Oryzias latipes: one gene and its partners. The protein of the gene in region 3 binds, or shares a complex with, the protein of the main gene of each other region. Links are inferred from orthologs where the notes say so. Each region holds a gene or a part of one and is shown on either strand. Other genes may lie near its edges. The genes, in order: DPY30 domain-containing protein 1, ropporin-1-like protein and lrrc23.

Region 1 (4,824 bases), on a different chromosome or scaffold from region 3:
ACCACTAATTTGTAGGCCGGAAATGGGGGGGGGGGGGAAATCCCCCTTACACAATACTACACATGGCACCCACCAGCTACCGTAAGGATAAAGGGAGGAGGCAGCCACCTCCAGCCAGGTCCAACCACCAAGAGACTAAAATGAGCAAACAGTTTAAAAAAATGGATAAGAGCAAGGGTGTCAAGCTTGATTTAAACATTAAAAACACTAAGCAAAACAGCAGTGGCAACTCTGCTGGAAAAAGAAAAATAAGTTAGTTCTCCCTGGGACAAATACATGTTTACAAACCCTTATGTTACCGCTCATGCCCCAGGGTCAGAACTCATGCCACCACCTGTTAATATAAATAGAATTTAAAATGTTGCAAACTCAAATGCTTAAAAAACTTTTGTAAAAGGACTCAAATGATTAAGCTTTAGCTTAAAAAAAAAAAAAAAAAAAAAAAAAAAAAAAAAAAAGCCCACATGTCAAGCTCACCCACCAAGGCCAAACCAGCATCTAGGTGGAACTCACAGCTGCTATTTATCAGCCTCATGAGCCAATCACAGCTCAACAGACAGGTGCTGGCCATGAATATTAACCTATGGAACACCACGAGGGACAAACTACCACCCACAGCCCTGTCTGTCATATAACGATAAAACAGGGATAAAGAGGGAGTTTCCAACTGAGGTCTGTTTCTAACAGTTTGTTTAAAACAAGGTTTTTTTTTATAATGAGACTGCCACTCTGTAAATAACAGAACCAAAAAAAAATCCAAACAATTGCAAAAATCCCAGTGCAAGAAATTGTAATGTAATATGGAGGGGAAAAAGATGAAAAATATATATAAGACATTCTAGACATGTATCTTTCTCAGTTATTATAAGTGGCAATTTCTCCCATTTTTCTACTTAAACATATTACCAAATGGCCCACTTTTTAAGGACAGAACAGTTTATCATAACAGTAGATAAAGCCATTGACTGTACAATAGGACATTATGTTTTAATATATCTATTATGCAGTCAGTAAGACTAACAGGGTCTGCGCCACCTAGTGGTAAAAATTTCGTAAAAATGCACAAATCACATTTTTCTTTGAGTGTGAATATAGAATCTTCCAACAATTTTATTTCTGCTTTTATTAAATAACTATGTAGTAGCATCTGCACCATTTAGATTAAGATAACTATTAGTTTTATGAATTCCTTTTTTAACATAGTCTTTTGAATTATTCCTCCCCCAATTTCTGACATTCTGTGACTGATGTCTCTTTCTGCTTCATAACACATTGAAGCAAAACTTGTAAAGATGCAAAAGAATTTTAATATTGTTTTATTGAGTTTAACTACTGGAAAGCAATTTAAAACACATCTCAAAATGATCACTTTCTCGTCAAAATATTTAATCTGTTTCACAAATACTATTTTGTGCGTCTGTGTATGGGTGTGTGTATGAATGACAATGAGGTTTTTTCACAAATATTTCTTTTTGTCTGTAGTTTTTTTTGGGGGTGTTATTAATATAATTGAGGATTATTATTATTATTATTATTATTATTATTATTATTATTATTATTATTATTATAAAAATCATCATCACCATCATCATATTTATAGTAGTAATAACAATGCCTGAAACAACCAATGGTTGCATTATAGAAATGACATCGAATACAAAGCGGAACTAAAAAACGGTTGGGAGACTTTAAACTGTGTGGGACCGTTACCACGGAGATGCAACCGTCCGCATAAAACAGTAAAATACGGTAATTTCCGTGTTAATTTTGGCTAATTTGTGCAGGTTTTATCCATAAAATCGCTTTCAGGTCATTTTTGTTCGTCATTATTGCCTTAATAGCTCCGAGCCTCCATATTTGCTCTGTAGATAAACAATCAGAAAACGTGTAGCATGATGGATTCGGAGTATCTTAATAAACATCTGGGGAAATGTTTGGCTGAAGGACTTGCTGAAGTGGTTGAACGGAAACCCGTGGACCCTATCCTTTATTTGGCCCACTGGCTGTACAAGTATAACTCAAATACGCTGTACGAGAAGAAGGTGAGTCGTTTTGTTGTTTTCACCAGCAGGGGGCACTAAAGGATGCAAACACAAAAGTTGTTGATTTACAGTGTTTTTAAGCATTACGTGGTTTACTTTTCCGTGTTTTCCATTTACAAAACGCTATAAAAACATAAAGTGATTGCATATATCATAATTTTTTTGAAACGTTGTCTTGCAAATGCAGTGCTGAATTAGAAACTATTAGAAAAGTGTGTAAACACACCAACCATAGTGTCATTTTTTTTTTAAAATGATGGATCTAGATTTTGCACTCCAGCTGCTTCTGATTATACCCATGTTGTTGCATGCCGTCAAACAGGTTTTAAGAGGATAACAGTGTTAGAGCACGTAAACTCATTATGCTGCAGGATGTAAAATAAGTAGGGCCTCAACAACAAAGACTCACCTTTTACCTTTAACACAGAAACTGTCTGTACCTCTACTGACACACAGCTGAGCCCTACTTAAAACAAAATGAAAGTTTAAACATTTTATGGTTTATATAAGATGTATACTTGTAAACTTTAGACTTGTAAGCTTAGATTTGTTCCTGTATCACCTTTGTATTTGCAGAAGAAGGCAAGTCTGGCTCTGCTGGATCAAGATCAGGAAAAAAGCAGCCAAGAAGCATCACATCAGGAAAATCTCACAGAAGAGGAGCAGATCAGTAATGCATCAAAAGGCACAGAGAAAGTACTTTCTCACTTTCTATTGCTAACTTAAAAGTATTTGATTTTAAACATCCTGAATGCATAGCTGACATTTTTAAAGACCTACTCTAACCATCTTTTGATCTATTTTCACAGAATTCCCAGTGGTCTTGTAATTCAAATTCAACTTTACTTGTGCACCACTTTTTCGACTACAAAGCCTCTCAAAGTGCTTTCCATAATAAAATAGATAATTGTAAGATAAAAAACAGTAGTTAAAATAGCAAACATAGTAAAAATAATAATGATAAAATAAAATTAACAACATTAAAACACATACAGACCCAAAACATACACATCCCACAGGTACAATCAAAATGAAGCGCATCAATTGCTGATAAAATTTATAAAATCTAATGAAAACATGTTGACAAGTAAAAACTACATAAAGGCTTTACTAAAAAAATGAGTTTTAATTTTTTTCTTAAAAACCTCCACAGTGGATGAAGCCCTCACCTGCCTGAGGAGACGTTCCACATGGAAGGCCCACAGTACTGAAATCAGGCCTCGTCGTGGGTTTTTGTTCTGACTTTTGGGACCACCAGCACACCTCCACCTGTGGATCTAGGAGGGTCATAAACTAAAAGTAAATCTAATAAAAAAATGAGGGGCCAACTCCATTTAAACTTTTAAAAACAAATGAAAAGAACTTTAGAATCAATCCTAAAGCTGACTGGGACCCAGTGGAAAGATTTCAAAATATTTCTTTATTTTTTTTCTTTAGCACTGCAATAGCCTGGTTTGTTTAGTCACAGGAACAATTCAAGCTGGCCATCTCACCATTTGCAGGAAACGTTCCCAGCTAGGTTAATTCACAGCTTTGCTGGGCTCAGGTGAACGTCGCGTCTGCGACTATGATTGTGCCGTATCAATCAATTATGAAGATTTTAGTCAAAAATCTAAAATCTGTGGTTTTCCGGGACATAGTTTCTACAGAGCAGTAGTAGTTCATCAGAAATATGCCTCTGATTCGTGGGTGGTTTGACCCCTTCCCCCCTTACCGGTACCAGTATTTTGAAACCCTCTCCCGTTAGCTTACAGCCCCTCACACCCACCTAACATGACTGGTGCAACAGAAATGGTGAGCAATACCGGAGCTGTTCAGATGTACAGTTTTGAACCACATGCCAGCTTGGACGAAGAAAACGCCGACGTACCTGGATACATAACAAATATGATCTTTTTCAAACTGCATTTTTTTGTTTGCTCCCAATTAACAACAATTTGAAAAAAGAGGTACTTAAAAATACAATTTAGAGCTTAACTTTCTTTTCATATTATGTCCGCCATCATGACATCTTTTGAATATCAGGCCATTGTTTTTAACAACATGTTAAAAACACAGTTTTCATCAGAGTGGGTCTTTAAAGGCCTAAAACTTTAACCCCCCTCTGAGGAGCCACAGATTAGCTCAGACACTAGAGACAGACGCTGAGACAGACAGCACTATTCAATAGTTAAGCATCAGGAGGCAAATGGGCAGCGCATGAGGGAGGCTGCTGATAAAATCGACTCCAGATGAGTCACGCACACTGCAGAGACAGAATTAAGGAATCTACTCCAGCGTTACAGGCAGGATCTGCACATTGATTCTTAAAAAATGCTGTATAATACAAGTTTGAAATACATTGCAGTCTGCTTTAATAAAACAAATGCTTTTAATAGTTCTTATGTTGAGCTAAAAGTCCTAAAACTCTTCAAAAAATGTGTTTTTTAAATGTAATTTCTTTACTTTTTCTTAGACTGATGATGTGGAAACTGAGAAACTTGAAGATGTCATCCGGTCCTCGTCAGTGCTCCAGAGTGAAGATGCTCAACCCGATGAGACAATTCACCATGAAAAAAAAGAGGAAGACATAACTGACCGCAACCATGAAGAAAAGGAGGAAGAGATGAGAGAAATCAAAGCAAGTCCATCTCCTATCGGTCTAGAAAAGGTAAGTATTTGTTGTTTTTCTCAAATATTTGGTACATCAAAATGTGTGTTCAAAAAGTACAGAAAGGAGCAAACGTTTGCTGGTATTTACTGGACACTTTATTGCAGGAGGCTGCATGATGGAAATTTTGGA
Region 2 (4,598 bases), on a different chromosome or scaffold from region 3:
ATGTAGTCAGTGGGTATGCGCCACAGGTTGGCTGTGAGTTAGAAGTGAAGGAGAGATTCTGGAGTGAGTTGGATGAGGTCATAGAGAGTATCCCCAGAGGAGAGAGAGTTGTTATTGGAGCAGACTTTAATGGACATGTTGGTGAGGGCAACAGAGGTGATGAGGAGGTGATGGGCAGGTTTGGTGTGAAGGAAAGGAATCTGGAGGGACAGATGGTGGTGGACTTTGCGAAGAGGATGGAAATGGCTGTAGTCAACACTTACTTCCAGAAGAGAGAGGAACATAGAGTGACATACAGAAGTGGAGGTAGGAGTACTCAGGTGGACTACATCCTATGTAGACGAGGTCATTTGAGAGAGGTTAACGACTGCAAAGTGGTGGTAGGAGAGAGTGTAGCCAGACAGCACCGCATGGTGGTGTGTAAAATGACTCTGGAGGTCAGGAAGAAGAAGAGAGGGAAAACAGAAAAGAAGACCAAGTGGTGGAAGCTACAGAATGAAGAAACTTGTGAGGAATTTAGGCAGAAGTTGAGACAGGTCCTGGGTGGTCAGGATGAGCTTCCAGATGACTGGGAAACTACAGCAGAAATTATCAGGGAAACAGGTAGGAAGGTGCTAGGTGTGTCATCTGGAAAGAGGAAAGACGGTAAAGAGACTTGGTGGTGGAATGAGGAAGTACAGGAATGCGTCCAGAGGAAGAGGTTGGCTAAAAGGAAGTGGGATGTAGAAAGGACTGAGGAAGGTAGACAGGAGTACAAGGAAGCGCAGCGTAGAGTGAAGAGAGAGGTGGCAAAGGCCAAACAGAAGGCTTACGATGAGCTATATGACAGGTTAGACACAAAGGAAGGAGAGAAGGACTTGTACAGGCTAGCCAGACAGAGAGACAGAGATGGGAAGGACGTGCAACAGATAAGGGTGATTAAGGACAGAGATGGAAAGGTGCTAACAACTCAGGAGAGTGTACAAAAAAGATGGAAGGAGTATTTTGAGGAGCTGATGAACGTGGAAAATGACAGGGAAAGAAGGGAGGAAGATGTGGTTGTTGTGGAGCAGGAAGTAGCAGAGATTGAAAAGGATGAGGTTAGGAAGGCTCTGAAAAGGATGAAGAGCGGAAAGGCCGTTGGTCCTGATGACGTACCTGTGGAGGTATGGAAGTGCCTAGGAGAGACAGCAGTGGGATTTCTAACAAGGTTGTTCAATAGGATTTTAGAGAGTGAGAAGATGCCTGAGGAATGGAGGAGAAGCGTTCTGGTTCCGATCTTTAAGAACAAGGGTGACACGCAGAACTGCAGCAACTATAGAGGAATAAAGTTGATGAGCCACACAATGAAGCTGTGGGAAAGAGTAGTGGAAGCCAGGCTTAGGAAGAAGGTGGAGATTTGTGAGCAGCAGTATGGTTTCATGCCCCGTAAGAGCACCACTGATGCCATTTTTGCTTTGAGAATGTTGATGGAAAAGTACAGAGAAGGTCAGAAGGAGCTGCATTGTGTGTTCGTAGATTTAGAGAAGGCGTATGACAGGGTGCCGAGGGAGGAGCTGTGGTACTGTATGAGGTCGTCTGGAGTGGCAGAGAAGTATGTCAGAGTAGTTCAGGACATGTATGAGAGAAGTATGACGGTGGTGAGATGTGCTGTAGGTCAGACAGAGGAGTTCAAGGTGGAGGTGGGACTACACCAAGGATCAGCTTTGAGTCCTTTTTTGTTTGCTATGCTGATGGACAGGCTGACAGACGAGGTAAGACAGGAATCTCCCTGGACAATGATGTTTGCGGATGACATTGTAATTTGCAGTTAGAGTAGAGAGCAGGTGGAGGAACAGCTAGAGAGGTGGAGGTTTGCTCTGGAAAGAAGAGGCATGAAGGTCAGTCGTAGTAAGACAGAATACATGTGTCTGAACGAGAGGGATCAAGGTAGAAGCGTTAGGTTACAGGGGGATGAGGTGAAGAAGGTGCAGGAGTTTAAGTATTTGGGGTCAACAGTTCAGTGTGATGGGGAGTGTGGAAAAGAGGTGAAGAGGCGAGTGCAGGCAGGTTGGAGCGGGTGGAGGAAAGTGTCAGGAGTGTTGTGTGACAGAAGAGTGTCAGCAAGACTCAAAGGAAAGGTGTACAAGACAGTGGTGAGACCAGCTCTGCTCTATGGGTTAGAGACGGTAGCAGTGAGACAGAGACAAGAGGCTGAGATGGAGGTAGCGGAGATGAAGATGTTGAGGTTCTCCTTAGGAGTGACCAGGTTAGACAGGATAAGGAACGAGTACATCAGAGGGACGGCTCATGTTGTCTGTGTTAGGGACAAAGTCAGAGAAGCCAGACTGAGATGGTTTGGACATGTTCAGAGGAGGGATAGTGGATATATTGGTAGAAGGATGTTGGAGATGGAGCTGCCTGGCAGGAGGGCGAGAGGACGGCCAAAGAGGAGATACATGGATGTCTTAACAGAGGACATGAAGTTGGCTAATGTTAGGGTAGAAGATGTCCATGATAGAGTGAGGTGGAAAAGGATGATTCGCTGTGGCGACCCCTGATGGGAAAAGCCGAAAGAGAAAGAAGAAGAAACTCACGCTGCACTCCAGGCAAGCAAGTCCATGGGCTGCGTTCGGATGGCTGCTTTGGCGAAATTTTTGAGGATATCTGGTAGTTCTGGTGGAATGTTGATCTGCTCGGCACAGTACAGTGTGTCTGGAAGGGGCATGGCTGAAATACGTGCACTGTAGTTTGTCGGCCAGCAAGTACTAAACAAAAATAAGAAATTAATTGTATTAGTAATTTTTAGTTAGTTTAGTAGTTTGGTATGAATAACCCATTTATTTCCCTTCCAAATAAAAACATTGCATTAAACAAACAATAATTGAAGTGTTAACAAAATGCAGAAATCCCTTACTGACTACGTCACGACATCTTTGCAACATTTAGCATGTGCGTGCATCACACATACGTTTAAATTAAGTGATAATTATTTATAGTGCTGAGAAAAACAATCATATTACGTTACCTGGAAAAATATGTAGACTGTAAATAGTAATAAGCAAAAAATGCCTTAAAATGTTCACCAAAAAATCGTAATTGCTGTCCTTCTGATTTACGCCACAATTCGTGTCCGTAAACTGACAGTTGTATATTACCGTCGCATGGCAACAGAATTCTTCTTCTGTCGCTGAGGTCAATGGAGCCGCATGTGCATATCGCCCCCTGCTGTTTTAGAAATGTTACTACAGAATGTCATTGACCCTTGTGCTATCCTAGGCACTTTACCATTGGGAGTTGGGTCATCTAGACCCACTAGACCAGGGGTCGGGAACCTTTTTGGCCAAGAGAGCCATAAACGCCACATATTTTGAAATGTAATTTCGAAAGAGCCATACAATAATGTAGTGTCCCTTTCCCACACTGAGGCACGGAGACTTAACCTCTTTTAAGGTTCTTTATTCGGGTTACTGCAGACCGCGACAAACGCCGAACAATTAATTCAGCAACTCCTGAATCTCTCCCGCCGAGACGAGACGAGAGCGCGTCTCCCAACTTTATATTCCCCTGCTCCCGCTGCAGCCCTCCCCTTTCCCTTATTCGGCCCATAGCTGAACCCCATTGGTCCAAACTACCTAACAACAGGCTGAGCGACAGAACTGAGAGCCAATCAGCTCTCTGCTTGATGCGGTCAATGAACTCCAGAACTTTTAACGCGGCCCAACAGCCATCCAACTCAGTCCGCGACAATATGTTTAAAACTAAAATACAAGTGAATGTGTGCATTTGATGTAATTTCAACCTTTTTAAAGTACAATAAGTCTGTGGATTCTTTTTAATAACATTGTTATGCTGTTTCTAATAAATGATGAGTATTTCTCGTGGTAGTTTTGCTGATGGTCTAGTCTGGTTTACGTGGTGAGTTTCTGCTTCATGCAGGCGTTGAGACTTTAAACGTGATCTTAGGTTGGTATGAATGTTTTGTAGATGTGAGACAGACTGCTCACATGCGGACCTGGAGCCAAACACACACTCACACGCTGCAGTGAGTGACAGGCAGTGGGTTTTACCTATTTACAATCCCTGCGCGATTCACCTGCTGCCTGTCCCCACAACACCTCAGCCCCACCCTCTGCTTTCTCCCTCACACATCCCGTCCCCGCAACTGCGCGCTCTTTCTCAGAGACGGGAGCGCGCAGTTTTAGGCACGGCAATTCACAGGTTTCCGGGTGGTACAAACTCTGTGAATTAATAGACAATTTTAAACTTATACTAGTGCTGGCGCAGGAGCCAGTTTAGCTCATGCTGGTTTGCGGCGCCTTCCATCCGTGAAACCCGAGTTCGACTCCGGGCTGCTCCCTGTTCCCTTCTCTACCTCTGCTGGTTCCAAGCCCAGTTTGAGAAGGTTGCGTCAGGAAGGGCATCCGGCGTAAAACATTGCCAAATTTACCATGACCCCTGATGGGAGAAGCCGAAAGTGGAAGAAGACTAGTGCTGGCGCAGATTTGTCTCTCTAAGCACCGCTACTACTGCGCGCCTCTGCCATCGCATCGCGCACGAGAAGGACTGGTCTAATGAAGAAAAAAAATTTGAATTAAAGATTTGTCTGCGAGCCACATGTGACCATCAAAAGAGCCATA
Region 3 (4,731 bases):
GGCCACAGTCGCTTGGATGATCAGAGGGAGTCTGCAAGTGCAGATGCAGGATACGCTGTACTAGAGAAAAAGGTGCACGAGGCCAACGTACACACTTGGCTTAAGGGGATATGTCTGTCACAATGCATTTGGACTTAAGACTGGATGGTTATTTACATTTTCTTTTTTGTCCTACAGGGGGCACTGTCAGAAAGGCCTCAAAGTTTTCTGGACCAACTGCGACAAAGCACAGAAGTAAGAGCAATGATGTAGAATATTTGCTAGTGTTTAATCATACTTTTTATAACGTCATTTTGTTTTTTACAGTTAAGAGATTCAATGTATTTGCTTTGCACTTCATCATCATCGTAAAGTCTTGATTTTGACTCTTTGTGTAGCAATCGCCTCCTCAACAGCACGGCCTGGTCCCAGCCTACAGCGCAGAAACTGACAGCGAAGAAGAAGGAGATAAAGAAGATAAGGAGGGAAAAATGACAGACTGGGTTAAACTTGCCTGTCTGCTATGTAGGAGGCAGTTTCCAAGCAAAGAGGCGCTCATAAGGCATCAGCAGCTCTCAGAACTGCATAAGGTACGTTTATTCCATTTTAATGCCAATAAAGATGTGAAACAAAAGATTTTAGACAGTCAACAAAAAGCGTTGGTCTGTTACACGTGTCTTCGTGTACTAAATGAGAAAAAGAAATTGACCAAAATCTTTATTTTCACGTTTGAACATTTTGTCCTGCGTCTGTATCTTTGTTTACAGCAAAATTTGGAGCAGAGAAAAAAACAATTGGATGCTGTAAGCAGAGAGGTTGGTCAGTTCATGTGCATGGATTGTACAACAATACATGCATTCAATATTGAGTGGTTTTATGCAGTTTCTACTTGTGTTTTGACATTGCAGAGACTTGAACCTCCAGATTCTAGGAAGCGAAAGTTTAACCCTCTGTAAGTCAGTGATGCTCAATACTTAATACAAATAATGTAACTTTTTTAAGGTGTGTTGCCTAATTTTTTATATCCTTTCCTTGTCTGTATAGTGAAGGCATCACCGGCATTAGTCTTGGAGCACGAATGTTGCAAGGAGGAGTGAAAAGAAGTCTTCTACTGCATAATACAGAAATAGAGTGACCTCTCACATGTAAATTTCCTGATCCAGAAAGGACAAGCTCACCTGCAAAACACTTCACTCTTCCCCATTACATAGACAGAGAAAAATATATTTTGGTCTGACGATACTAGAGTCTGAAGAACATAGCACCTCTTTGGACTGATCCTGTAGCAGTACATGTCAAGATATTGCACAAATTGCACCTTTTTGCTTGTTTTTTGTGTGATTTAGGATTTCCTCTTGCTTCAGTTTGTGTGAATTAAACATGTGAATTCAGAATCACTTACTTTCAGAAAAAGGAAAGTTCTACACAGGTCTAAATGTCATGAAATGAGAATTTTCAGTCACTGTACCATATAGTTTTATTTGTTTTTTAAGAATATGCTGTCATTTAATAAATGATGGGTCCCAGCATAAACTGTGTATATTTCAGAAGTTTTTACGGAAACACTTTTGTGTGTCTGTGTTGTTGTTTTTTTTTTTTTTTTTTTTTAATATGATCACTTACTTAATTGGTTGTGCAGAAAAAAAAACGTTCTTTTGCAGAAGTTGAGTATCTGCAAAAGTCGCTTTCTACAAACAATGTTTTCTTTTTTTGGTTACATATGAACATACTTTTTTTATTTCATATTTTTGGTAGTCGCAGTTGCTAAACTAACTTTTTAATTTCACTTACAAAAAATTAAATACTGCAAGTGTAAAATAGATTAAAAAAAATGTTACATTTTGACCAACGTCTACTTTTGTTTACTAGTATTTCACAATTTTTGTCATTAAGTTTGGCCCTACCCGAAGTTGGGGTTAGTTGTTGCTGTGGAGTTTCCATGGTAACGCTATTAGAATTTGGTATGTTCGGTGTAGCTCGTACCATCCATACCCAAATTAACCATAATCCTTGTTAAATATTATCGGAAAATAGAGCCTTTGAATTGCTCGTGTTTCCACTCATTTCCGCGTAAAACTGCACTATTGCTTATCGTCGTACCGAATGCTGGAAGCCTGTTGGCTAGCTTAAAGTCGGTTCAATCCCGCTATGGAGGAAGAAATTCTACTGTCGGACTTGGAAGATGAGGAGGAAACAACTAATGCGAAAGGAGAAGGCGATAAGGTACACAAAAATCCGTTAAAAAAAAAAAACACACATTGATTTTTACAGAAACTGAGGAAAAAAAAGTTCATTCGTAAACTACAGTAATGCATTGACAGCTACTGAAATGAATTTCAAAACTTCTGTTCATTAAAATAAAGCTTTTTTGTTTTGTTTTTTTAAAGGCTCAAGCACACACATTGACCAAAGACATAATAAAAGAGGGACTTTCATTATTGTGCAGGACAGTAGACAGACTTGGACATGCTTTTATTAAATTAAACCTCAATAACATGTAAGCAGACAAAACACATTTTAACTGGACTGACTAACCCAATCAGCTTCTAATGGATTTTTCTTTACTACCTACTTCACAGGAAATTAAATGATCTAGCTGCGATCAGCGGCTACATTCACATACGTTTATTGGATTTATCCAACAACAGCCTTACTGATCTTTCTCCTCTGGCCTCCCTAAAGCAGCTCCTGTGGCTGAAGGTAGCCTACTTTATTTAGATTTGTCTTGATCATTTCTGTGGCAGATTCATTCATTTGAAATGACATTAATTGCTGAATTGTTTCTAATTTCCTCTATGATTGAGAGGTAAAAGGATTTAGTGGTGAGCCTCTGGTTTTAAAATGGTCCTTCAAACAGCACCAATAGTTATAATGGGTTGTCTGTACATTCTTAATGATCGACAAACTGCAGGTTGACAAAAATGATGTGGCGAGCTTCCGAGGACAACCGTTTGCTGAGCTGATCTATCTGCAAAGGCTAAATATGGCAGCAAATCAGTTAAATGATGCCGATGGCCTGGTTGGGCCCGCCCTGGAGAGCCTCAATCTTACAGGTTATTGATTAATCTGTATTCCAAAATTTAAAATAATCTAATTTTTAAAATTATATATATATATATATATATTTTAAAATTATATTTACGATGTAAAATACTTTCTATCTCACATTTTTGGAAATATTAAACATTTAAAGCCTAGTATAGATTTTAAGTGACACAGTGACCTCTTTTTCAGGAAACAAAATTCAGTCGCTGCATTGTTTTCAAACTAGCTGCTTTGGAAATCTGCTTACTCTGGAGCTGAGAGGAAACCATTTGGAAACCACTGATGGCCTCAACCTTCCAAATCTGCAACGATTATATCTGGTACATAAAAGCTGTTATTTTATTAAAATGACTAATATCTGTGAAAGTTCTTATCACTAAAATTATGCTCTTCCAATACCGTACCACTATTCCTTACAACAATATATCAAAATATTGATTAGAATTGCTATTACCTTTTTTTCCCCTTTTTCATAGGCTGATAATGGGATCAAGCATCTTGAAGGTCTAGACAAGTTAGAGTCTCTCGCCATCCTTCATATTCGAGATAATAAATTAGAAACTCTAGAAGGCCTCAGTCCCAACATGAAGTGTCTTCAGTATCTAAATGTCAGGTATGTGTAAGAAGGTGAGAGACCCATTGTGGTACCTACAAAAATTCTAAGAGTTCATATTTTCTGTTTGTTTCCATCTTTTAGAGGCAATTTAATTGCAGAGGAAAAAGCTTTGCAAAGCATTGGCCTTGTGGCAAAAAGCCTGCAAGCATTGGTTCTTTCTGAGAACCCGCTGGTGGCAACAGCAGACTATCGCCCCAATGTGTTGACACTTTTACCGCAGCTGAAAAGACTCGACAAGGAGCCTGTGACACCTGCGGAGAGGGGTGACAATCAGATGAGAATCAGAGTAAATGCTTAATATTTTTGTGGTGTGATCAGATCACATATTCTGGCCTTTTTTTTTTTTTTTTTTAAAAAAAGGACATTTCTATCTTTTCAGGAACTCGAGGAAGAGGAAGTACCTGAGCCATAAGATTTCATAAGATCTTTGTGAGAGGAAGTGCTGGGCATAAAAAGCAGGTCTTTCAAGAGATGATGATCGTGATTGCACATCAAGTTTGATTTTAGAAAAGCTTTCTTTCCAAATTGTTACAATAAAAAAATTGCCTTGTGAAGTGTTTTTTTTTTTTTTTTGTCTTAACAAGAACAATCACATACACAACATGTAGTTGCAGGATTAAAGGTGGGGCTGGTTTATAATCCATGCATTGTCATACATTTTTCCCTGAGTAAGAATGAGAGGGCAAAATCTGACCGCACTTCCTAGTTGGCTGACGTCCACCTGCGACCTTAAAGGGACAGTAACATAAAAAAAACGTATGTGAAACATTATTAATGCATAACCTGCATGTTCTAATTAACTGTTTAATGGATGTCAGCTATATTATAATATATATGTTTAATTTGTTGCAGTTTTGACAGTTTTCAATAACATTTTCACGCTGCACCGTGATGCATTTGTGTACATATGGTATATCTGTCACCGGTCTTATTGTTATCTGTGGAATTTATTGAGATTTCCTAACATGAAATTTAACGATAAAACTTTAAATACGTCTTTGAAGATGAACAGTTAAGGAGTTAAGTAACAGCCTCTCAAATAAAGCGCGATTTGACGTAATAGGATTGCCTTTTTCTGCTCCCTCCCCTTC

The links.
Region 1: lrrc23 (region 3) and DPY30 domain-containing protein 1 share a complex: the UniProt entries of both Homo sapiens proteins name them as parts of the axonemal radial spoke complex. The link is inferred for Oryzias latipes from reciprocal best matches to the Homo sapiens genes LRRC23 and DYDC1.
Region 2: lrrc23 (region 3) and ropporin-1-like protein share a complex: the UniProt entries of both Homo sapiens proteins name them as parts of the axonemal radial spoke complex. The link is inferred for Oryzias latipes from reciprocal best matches to the Homo sapiens genes LRRC23 and ROPN1L.

What each region holds. Positions count from the first base shown.
Region 1 is NC_019877.2:16,026,055-16,030,878, reverse strand, and holds the start of DPY30 domain-containing protein 1, read left to right. Parts: upstream 1-1,681; 5' UTR 1,682-1,749; exon of another isoform or gene 1,750-1,809; intron 1,810-1,868; 5' UTR 1,869-1,892; coding exon 1,893-2,042; intron 2,043-2,618; coding exon 2,619-2,738; intron 2,739-4,497; coding exon 4,498-4,692; intron 4,693-4,799; coding exon 4,800-4,811; 3' UTR 4,812-4,824. UniProt on the Homo sapiens protein: Functions as part of axonemal radial spoke complexes that play an important part in the motility of sperm and cilia. Plays a crucial role during acrosome biogenesis.
Region 2 is NC_019878.2:13,557,568-13,562,165, forward strand, and holds the start of ropporin-1-like protein, read right to left. Parts: upstream 3,140-4,598; 5' UTR 2,987-3,139; intron 2,727-2,986; 5' UTR 2,687-2,726; coding exon 2,556-2,686; intron 1-2,555. UniProt on the Homo sapiens protein: Functions as part of axonemal radial spoke complexes that play an important part in the motility of sperm and cilia. Important for male fertility.
Region 3 is NC_019865.2:13,825,718-13,830,448, forward strand, and holds lrrc23 (leucine-rich repeat-containing protein 23), read left to right. Parts: upstream 1-1,862; 5' UTR 1,863-2,127; coding exon 2,128-2,202; intron 2,203-2,366; coding exon 2,367-2,476; intron 2,477-2,558; coding exon 2,559-2,679; intron 2,680-2,890; coding exon 2,891-3,032; intron 3,033-3,213; coding exon 3,214-3,344; intron 3,345-3,500; coding exon 3,501-3,637; intron 3,638-3,721; coding exon 3,722-3,926; intron 3,927-4,019; coding exon 4,020-4,052; 3' UTR 4,053-4,194; downstream 4,195-4,731. Other genes in the region: RNA-binding protein 10, read left to right, coding at 1-72, 178-234, 378-569, 747-794, 888-931, 1,024-1,114. UniProt on the Homo sapiens protein: Essential for sperm motility and male fertility. Plays an important role in the proper assembly of the third radial spoke (RS3) head and the bridge structure between RS2 and RS3 in the sperm flagella.